2 linked regions of the Ovis aries genome follow. The main gene of each other region encodes a partner of the protein of the gene in region 2 in a complex. Links are inferred from orthologs where the notes say so. Each region holds a gene or a part of one and is shown on either strand. Other genes may lie near its edges.

Region 1 (4,481 bases), about 19 Mb from region 2:
TCTTGGATCCAGCCAGTCTGCCCATCCCTTTCCTGTTCTGCTTTTCAGGGCAAGGAGCAGCTATTTTTTAAGGGCCAAGAAGGACATCAACTGGAGAAGAGGGGGGTCTGCCAAACAAGGCAGACATGAATGGAGCCCTCTGTCCCTTCCTGGGACCCATAAGGAAGCCCCTGGGACTTCTCTGCCATTCTCCCCCAGATTCTACCTGTCCTGGCTATACACCCTAAGCCTCTGCTCTTGGGCCCTCCAGCTCCTGCTCCTGCCCACCAGGCAGGGACCAGGGAACCTGGGAAGCCTCCTATAACTGTAAGAAGAGAAGTGGGCATCAGACCTCTGATGTCTGAAGATGAATCCCCCCATGACCAGCTTAGCTTCTTCTTCTTCGCTCCCCAAACCCCGAGGATGCTGGACCATTTGCTCCAATGGAGCAAACCCAGGAGGGGCCAGGCATTCATTCCCTTTCCTTGGAAGCTGAGAAGGGCAACGAGCAGCCAGTTTGAAGGGACAAAGGGGCGGCAGGCTGGCCCTACCAGCCCAGCAGGGGAGCTCGGCCACCGGGCAGGCCACCCCCACCCCCACCCCCACTGCAGAAAGCCCCCACTCTCCTTCCTGGATGGAGCTGGGGAGCTGGGGCAGCAGTTTACAGCGGCTTTCCCGACCGGGCTTTTGGAAAGCTTAACATTTTCAAACCTATTCTTCCACCCCAGTGACAGATTTATCCCAGGAAAATTATGTCTCCTTCTCCAGCTTTGAAGGGAAGTCAGCTACGTCGATGCAGAAAAAATGCAGCGAGACATACTCGATCCCCCAAACTGGCTCGAGAAGAGGAGAAAGTATTCAGGAAATGTTAAAAAAGGTGAAAGTAAGAAGAGTTTTAATCGCTCTGCCAGACGCGGGGGTCTCTCCAGAGATTCATAGAGAACAATCTTGAACCTCTTTTTTAACATTTACAGACTTGCAACTCCTTTCAAACTCCACATCTGAAAAAAAGGCTCGTTCTTTTTCTGTTTTATATCATTCTTCATTTTTCTTCTTAGCTCTTAAAATGCTTCACCTTTTTATTACATTTTAATAGAGTCTTCCCCTCTCCTTTCATGCTTGTTTAACTTGGTCATTATTTAAAGGTTTTTAAACTCACAATAATCGCTCTCTAAAAACAACACCAGCCGCCCAGAGGACTTGCTTTTCTCTTGGTACATCCAGGACTCTGGAAATTGGCCTTGTTTCAAGGCAGGAATATTGAATGTTTTAGAAATCAATCAGTCCTCAGCCTCTCCACCCCACAGTAGCTCCCTGTACTCACCACCCCACCGGGAGCCAGGAGCCCCGCTCTGACCGACCGCCTGGGTTCCTGGACAAGTGAAGTGGGGAAGGCCCCTTTCCTAGCCTAGTCCCCATGTGTAATTGACCCTCCTGATCAAAGTATTTAAGGTTCACAGTACACCGCCCCCCCCCCCAACCTGGGAGAGTTGAGGGGATTTCTCTCCCTTCTCTTTCCCACTCTCCTTTTGTGGGCCCTGGTGACATATCCTCTTTCAAGAGCTTCCCTTAAACCTGGGCCCCCTCCCCCTGAACCCTCTGCCTCCACCTGCAGTGGGGAGGGGTATGAGAGGGGGAGGTGGAAAGGGAGATTCCTGGATTCATTCATCTGCTGGGCAGGGAAAGGGCACCTATGGGCCAAGTACTCCCCAGGGTCCCTTCCCCAGCCCTCTCTTCTCCAGCTGACCCCCAAGATGTTTGTCGGCTTAACTCCTTCCCTTCTGAGCTGGGGAGCCTACAGGCCTCAGCTCAGCGCGCAGATGCGACTGCTGGGTCCCGTCACAGCAGGCCAGCCTGGGGAGGAGGGGCGTGCTCCGCAGGCTACCTTAACCCCAGCGCAGTGCAGCTCCTTACCGAAGGGGTCCCCGTCTTCTGCCATGGCGTTGATGCGCTTGTTGGCCAGGACCTGCACGTGCTTCCCGCTGGTGCGGCTGTAGAGTTGGTAGGTCCGGATGAGACGGCGGCTGAGCTGATCTGTCACCAGGCTCTGCTCCCTCACATGCTGTGTAAAATTAGGTGAGGACTGAACAGTTACCTTTAGGAAATTGAAAAATACACAACACGCCATTATAATGCTACCCTGCCCAGGGGCCCGAGTGGCCCCCATCACCCGGCACCTCCCTCCACTGCCCCAGGCAGCCGGCAGGGGCTGGGGTCCCCCCAACATGCCAGTTCGGACCACCCCCACCCTACCCAGGAAAGTCGGACAGACCCAGTCTAGCATGGATGCGCCCGGGATGGGGAAGGATCTGGACCCACCTGTTGGGAAACACCCTGGGACTCCCGGCCAGCTCGGAACAGGGAAGCGAGCTCCCTGCCCAACGCAGGCCCCCCGCCCGGGCCTTCCTAGAAGAGCAGGGCGCTTTTAAGTCGGGAGGCAGCGCGGCCCGACCCCTGACATTTATAAAGACAAATTCACGGAGCAAATGTGGAGACCGCAGAAGCCCTGGGCACCTGGTCTTTCGGCCAGACCCGCCGCAAGTCTCTCCAGAGAGCCGCGGAGAGGGTCCCTGAGGCCGTCACCGGACCTCTGACATCGAACGCCCCCTGCCCCGAATGCCCCCTTCCTCGGCGCGGCCGGGACTGGCTGCCGCCGAGTTCCCCAACCACCCCCACCGGGCTGGGAGGCGTGGGAGACAGCGCCGGACTCCGAAACCTCGGGTTCTAGCCTCGCGCGGCTCACAGGCTGTGTGACCTGAGGCCGGCGCTACCTCTCTGGTCCTTAACCCCTCCTCGGGATAGTTAGGGGTTGCTGTTCTAAGATGCTTCCCAGCACTTCCAGCCCGCCGCGCGGCCGCGGGGTCGGTCCTCTTGCCCCCGCCTGCCCGACCTCGCCCCCCGGCGTGCCCCGCCGGCCCCGGCGCAGTGCGCCTTACCTGGGCTTGGAGGCAGAGAACCAGCAAGTGCAACAGCCTGTGGGAGACAAAAGCGGGCGGGGAGAGAGGGGCGCGGGGTGAGTGGCGGGCGGGCCGGCGGGCGCGCGGCCGGGGGCGCGGGACGGCGGTACTCACAGGCAGCTCAGCGCCGAGCGGGGGCTGCCCATGGCGCGCGGCCGGGGAGCACCCACAGCCCCGGCGGGATCTCGCCGGCTCGCGGGAGGCAGCGGACCGACGAGCCGAGGGCGGCGGCGGCGGAGGGGGGCTCGAGGGTGGCTCGAGGCCGGGAGCCGGGGCGATCGGGACGCAGCTCCGCGGGTCCCAGGGAATGTCGAGCTCGCCGCGCCGCGCCGAGTGCCTCTGCGCCGCAGCCGGAGCCGTTGGCCGCTGGCTGCTGAGGAGCCGGAGCGGGAGGGAGGGTAACGGGCCGGCAGGGGGGGTGGGTAAGTGGGAAGGGAGGGGGAGGGGTGGGGGCGGGGGGCGCCGCACCGGGCGCGAGGGGGGAGCGCGGGGCGGGCGGCCGGAGCCCGCAGCCCCCGGCTGGGAGCGGGGGCCCGGACGCAGCCCGGGGCGGGGGCGGGGCGGACCGGGGCGGGGCGGTCGGAGGGTCGGGGATTGGGGGTCTGGGTGAGGGGAGGGGTCTGGGGACCCGCTGCAAGGGGCGAGGGCTGCCTGTCTGGGCCCCTCTCCGCATCCCGGACTTGTCCCCTTGCGCGTTCTTGGGGTCCAGGCGTGCGGGGATGGGGGCGCATCGGGCCGCCCACCCTGTGGAGTCCCGAGACCCTCTGCTGGGGCTTCCTGGACCCCCCGGGCGCCCGAGTGGGAAGGCGCCCGGTCTCCACCGTGGGACCCGGTCCGCTTAAGCCTCAAGCTAGACAGCGGTTCTCTGAGCCACCTACTGTGTGCTTTGTCTGTCTGGGGCTGCCGCCTGCAAGTAGCCTCCAACACTGGGGTGAACGCTTGTGCGCTTTCCTCTGGCAGTGCGCGCCTGTGAGACCGGGAGCCGACAACCACCCCCATCTTTCTGCTGAGTACCCTGCCTTGCCGGTCTCTCCTGCATCGCTCAGTCACCAAGAAGGCCCTGAGATCGAGAAACATCTCCTTTCCTGCTTCCTGCCCTCATTATCACCATCACCCCTGCTCCTGTCCCTCCCGCCCCCAACACGCTAGACTGAAGCCTGACTACACCACCCAAAAAGGAGAGAGCCCACCCATAGGGAAAACCCCAGTCACTTGCCACCACCATGCCCTCCCCAAAGCGGCAGGCAGTGGGCGCAAAAATAACCTCAGCTGCTTTTCCAGGAAAGAGGCTTAGATCCAGGTTGCCTAGTCTTTTTCGCTCAGACTCCCATTATTTGTGCACTGAACAGGTATTTACACACCTACTGTGTGCTAAACCTGGACTGGTGCTTTGTCAACCCTGGGGGAGGGGGAAGTATCAAAGAAGGTAGTGAGTTGTCTAAGCCTTTCCCAGCCACCCATTGCTTCCTCCAGGGGCTTCAGGAACTCCCGAGGTGTGGTGCTTCTTTGAGAGCAGCTTGGATGGGCAGAGATGCCCTGAGACGG
Region 2 (3,798 bases):
TAATCCAGCCCTCAGATGACAGAAAAGGAAACTGAGATCCAGGGGGTTGTGTGCTTTTTCCAAAGCCACCTCTTTCCAGGGTTTTGCACAGCTTCCACTAAACCTTTGAAAAAAACCTCTCACAACTCTGGACGCAAACCTCATAGGAGCTGTGAACCCCAAAATATGACCTCCCGTTTCAGAGAATTCAGGCACCTCCCCTCAACCCCCAAGTGCATTCACAGATGCCAGGCTGGGAAGACCAGCCTCCAACAACACTCACATTGTTGAATGCACATTTCTACACAAAGAACTGCCGGGGGGTACTGCGTCCTCGTCCGTCTCCACCCCCTCCCCATCCCTGCCTCACCTCTTCCTACCAGTATGTGCACATATATTTTTAAATTCCCTTCAATAATTAAAGACGATAAAAAGAAGTCCTCCAGGACCATTTTACACTTTATGTTGAAATAAACTCCCAATCACGCTGCCCTGAAAGTCGAAATGAGAAATGACATTTTCTTCCTAACCTAGGCCATTCCTGGGCTCACACTGCAGGAAACCCTCCTGTTCAGCAGCCTCAGTGTGTGTACTGAGCCATGCACCCCAGGGAAAACCGGCAATTAGAGAAACATCCATTTTAATTATTAGCAAAATTAAAGACGTACAGGCATGACTTTCAGAAACTGGGAACCTTTTCCCTCAAGTTAAGCCCTTTAAACATGCATCCCCATTGCAAGTGACATTGGAGCTCATGTCACCAGGAGGCAGTTCCATAATCCCTGGAGCCAGAGCCTGTGAACACTTCAGACGCAAACTCCTACCAGGTTCCCTACCGGAGACTTGGAAGCCACTGCAGCGTCACTACACCTGTTTACTACAAACCTCCATACCTCTAGGTAAGAAAAAGGGCACAAGCTTCCACTCGCAACTGCTGAGCTGCTTCTAGTAAGAAGCGCCTCCATTTTAGAAAAAAAAAGATATGCCTTTATCCTTGCATGACTCAGGGTCTCAGTGGGAGCCCCCCTCGGATGAGGACACAGCCCTCCCCTCCCGGTCTGGTCCTGGACAGGCTTGCGGTCTTCTTCCGAGCAGGGTCTTTTCCAGAACAGCTGACCGACCCCAGCCCACGCAGGCCCCCAGAGCTCAGCAGGCACCAGGTGGGCTCTCAGCAAACAGGTTCATTAAGTGGCGATGAGTGCTAGGATCTGCCGTTTTATTCTCGGATTACCACTCGAAAAATAACTCAGCTACCAATATTCCCTACTGATGACAGATCTCGTGCGGCACCAAGTTGAGGCTGGGCTACCGACGTCGCGGAAGGACCCAGGAGAAGAGGTTCCAAGTCTGCCTGGCGGGAAAATTCAGCCCTTGTGAGTTTTGTGCTCACAACTGGCCTCATGCCTTTCTGCATGTTCCAAAATGCATAATGTGTTGCCTGCGTGCAATTTCCACAGCTGAAACACCAACGCACACCCTGTTAGATCTGGAAGTTCTCAGAGATTCGGGAAAGGCCCAGGTACATTTCAAATTGACCTAAAATAGAATCTGCTGCTCTGTGACGTGTGGCTTAAGTATTATGAATTACAAGGGCTAAAAAGAATGTAATGTCTCAACCCTCTCCACGCTGAAGTTCAGAAGCTTTCTCTCCTTAGACAATGAAAATAAAATGTCAGCATTTCAGAGGTTGGCAATTTCCCTGCATGACTCCTTTTGCCGGCAAACTGCAATCCTTTACATTGTGAGCAAGACTCTCTCGGGTAAGCAGGGAGTGGTAGATGGCATTCAACTCTGAGCTGCCTGCCACGGCTCTCCTGGCACTGGATGAACTGCCAGCCGCCTCCCTTACCCAGCACAGAGAAAAACGCACACGCCAAGAAACCACCGAACTACACCACCCTGCCCTCAGCGTGACAGCTGAGAACCTTCTCTTGTAATCCCTGGCTTGCAGGGGGCAGAGAGCCACAAGCTCCGCTCTTAGAGGTCTCCTTTACAACGCAAGGGGCAGCTGATTCTCAAACAGGCCTTGACCTCACTGCCACTTCCCCCAGACAAATCCCCAAACTTGGTACCCTGAGAGCGAAATGAGATAACTTACCTTCCGGCTCAACCGTGGTATCGTCAACTAAATTGAAGGAGGGCCGGGCCAGGGACAAGGTTGCCATGGTGACCACAACCAGGCAGAGGAAGCGACCCCAGCTGACCATGGTTACAGTGCCGATCCCCTGTCCTCTTCCATATCTCCATGTGGACGTTAATCCCATCTGCACCCTTCCTCTACGAGCATGGACTGCCTGCAGCAATGCCTTCAGCCGGCGGTGGGCTCAGGAATCAAGGTGCTGCGGCAGCCGCTCGCTGGCCTTGCCGCTGCTGCTGCTGCTGCAACCTCTAGAGGAGAGAGACACTGCAAGTCAGTGAAATCTTCCCCAATACCAATTTAGTTCAACCCAGTTCTCTTTCATCATCTGCAAATACCTTCCATCCGCACCTGAGTCCCAGGGGTTTCCACCAGACCGGTCCACAAAAACGTGTTAGGCTGACGGTTGAGAAAGCCTACTCTTAGGAAACAGAGATAAAAAGAGTAGCTACAGGACCCAGATACGTGCAGCCACTTCAGCTGGGCAAGCGGACTCTCTCCTCCTACCCACTGTCACCTCTCCCGCCCTCCAAAAGCCAAAGCTACGTGACCTTAGTTTCAAGGGCAACTACAAAAGCCAAGTTAACGATGCTCCGGCTGGCATAGCCAGCCTCTTGTTAACTTCTTTCACACCAACTGGGCTTCAGAGGTGTCTGCTTCTGGGGGTTGGAGCTAAGTGGCTTGCTCCACCCTCCCTGGAGCCCTCGGGAGGAAGGGAGACCAGCAAAATAAAAAGAACCCCAGGAAGGCGACCAAAAATTCCCACCAGTTTACACTTGTCAAGATTCATTTTCAAATGCAGAAATGTATTTCAATCTTTTCGCCAAGCAGACACTTACAAAGAATGAACGAGACTGCAATACATTCAAAGCAGCTGATCCAAAAAGAGGTTCAAAGCTTGAATCCCATTCCACTGTGACGAATGGCAGCCCAGGCCTAGTGCGTGTCTTCAAACTAGACAGAGTGCATTAAGAAACAGAGCAGATGCAAACTCCTTTGAATAACACGGGTGTTCATTAATGATGATGATGGTGATGATGATATGTAAATTACTCTCAGGGTAGGTGATTGGGCCAATAACTTTCAATATGCTAACTTACTGACTAAAATTTCAGAACAGAAGTTACCAGGGGGTGTTCAATGTACTAGTCTGCTCACCCATTTAATTCAAAAGCAAAGAGAAATTTCCAAGCTTAAGATAATCCAAGACTTTACATTTGTTCAGTATCAATTACTAAGAATAAGAACCAAAATGCACAAGCTTCAGAGAATTTGATCCAATCACAGATTCTGTGAATTACATATGAAAGAACCACATTTTATAGGATTGAGGGTGGAGGTGAGACCTTTAATATACAAATCTCGAAACCCCACGCTTTCTGCTTGCGGACTTCATGTTTCAGATTATGACTTGGGATTTCAATACTGCTTGAGCGTCCCCAAAGCTACATCAGAATAAACTTTCAGCCTTGACTAAGGATTAGAGTGAGCAAGGGGAAAAGAGGACGCTGCTCCACTTTCAGAGGAGGAAAAAAGAAAGCCTCTTCTTCAAAAGAAAGCACACGTGAAATGGTGTGATTCACAGCAAAAGAAGAGCGCGTGCGTCCACCCCGTGCTTTCAGATTGCTTGAAGGATTTCTTTGGCCAGTTTTTCTTTCCTCTTTGAGGTAAGAGCCTCAAAA

What was found.
Region 1: the proteins of FGFR2 (region 2) and FGF8 are in contact, whole or in part, in a crystal structure (PDB 2FDB), measured with the Homo sapiens proteins. The link is inferred for Ovis aries from reciprocal best matches to the Homo sapiens genes FGFR2 and FGF8. Residues at the interface, in NP_000132.3 of Homo sapiens: Glu160, Lys161, Glu163, Lys164, Leu166, His167, Ala168, Val169, Pro170, Asn173, Asp247, Val249, Arg251, Ser252, Ser282, Asp283, Ala284, Gln285, Pro286, His287, Ile288, Gln289, Ile291, His293, Leu309, Val311, Leu312, Lys313, Ala314, Ala315; in NP_149354.1 of Homo sapiens: His53, Val54, Gln57, Asp62, Leu64, Ser65, Arg66, Leu68, Ile69, Arg70, Tyr72, Tyr75, Arg77, Gly80, His82, Val106, Glu107, Thr108, Thr110, Phe111, Gly112, Ser113, Val115, Thr148, Glu149, Ile150, Val151, Leu152, Glu153, Asn154.

The regions. Positions count from the first base shown.
Region 1 is NC_056075.1:22,293,888-22,298,368, forward strand, and holds the start of FGF8 (fibroblast growth factor 8), read right to left. Parts: upstream 2,983-4,481; 5' UTR 2,264-2,982; coding exon 1,894-2,263; intron 1-1,893. UniProt on the Homo sapiens protein: Plays an important role in the regulation of embryonic development, cell proliferation, cell differentiation and cell migration. Required for normal brain, eye, ear and limb development during embryogenesis.
Region 2 is NC_056075.1:41,084,410-41,088,207, forward strand, and holds part of FGFR2 (fibroblast growth factor receptor 2), read right to left. Parts: intron 3,071-3,798; 5' UTR 2,956-3,070; intron 2,368-2,955; 5' UTR 2,244-2,367; coding exon 2,078-2,243; intron 1-2,077. UniProt on the Homo sapiens protein: Tyrosine-protein kinase that acts as a cell-surface receptor for fibroblast growth factors and plays an essential role in the regulation of cell proliferation, differentiation, migration and apoptosis, and in the regulation of embryonic development.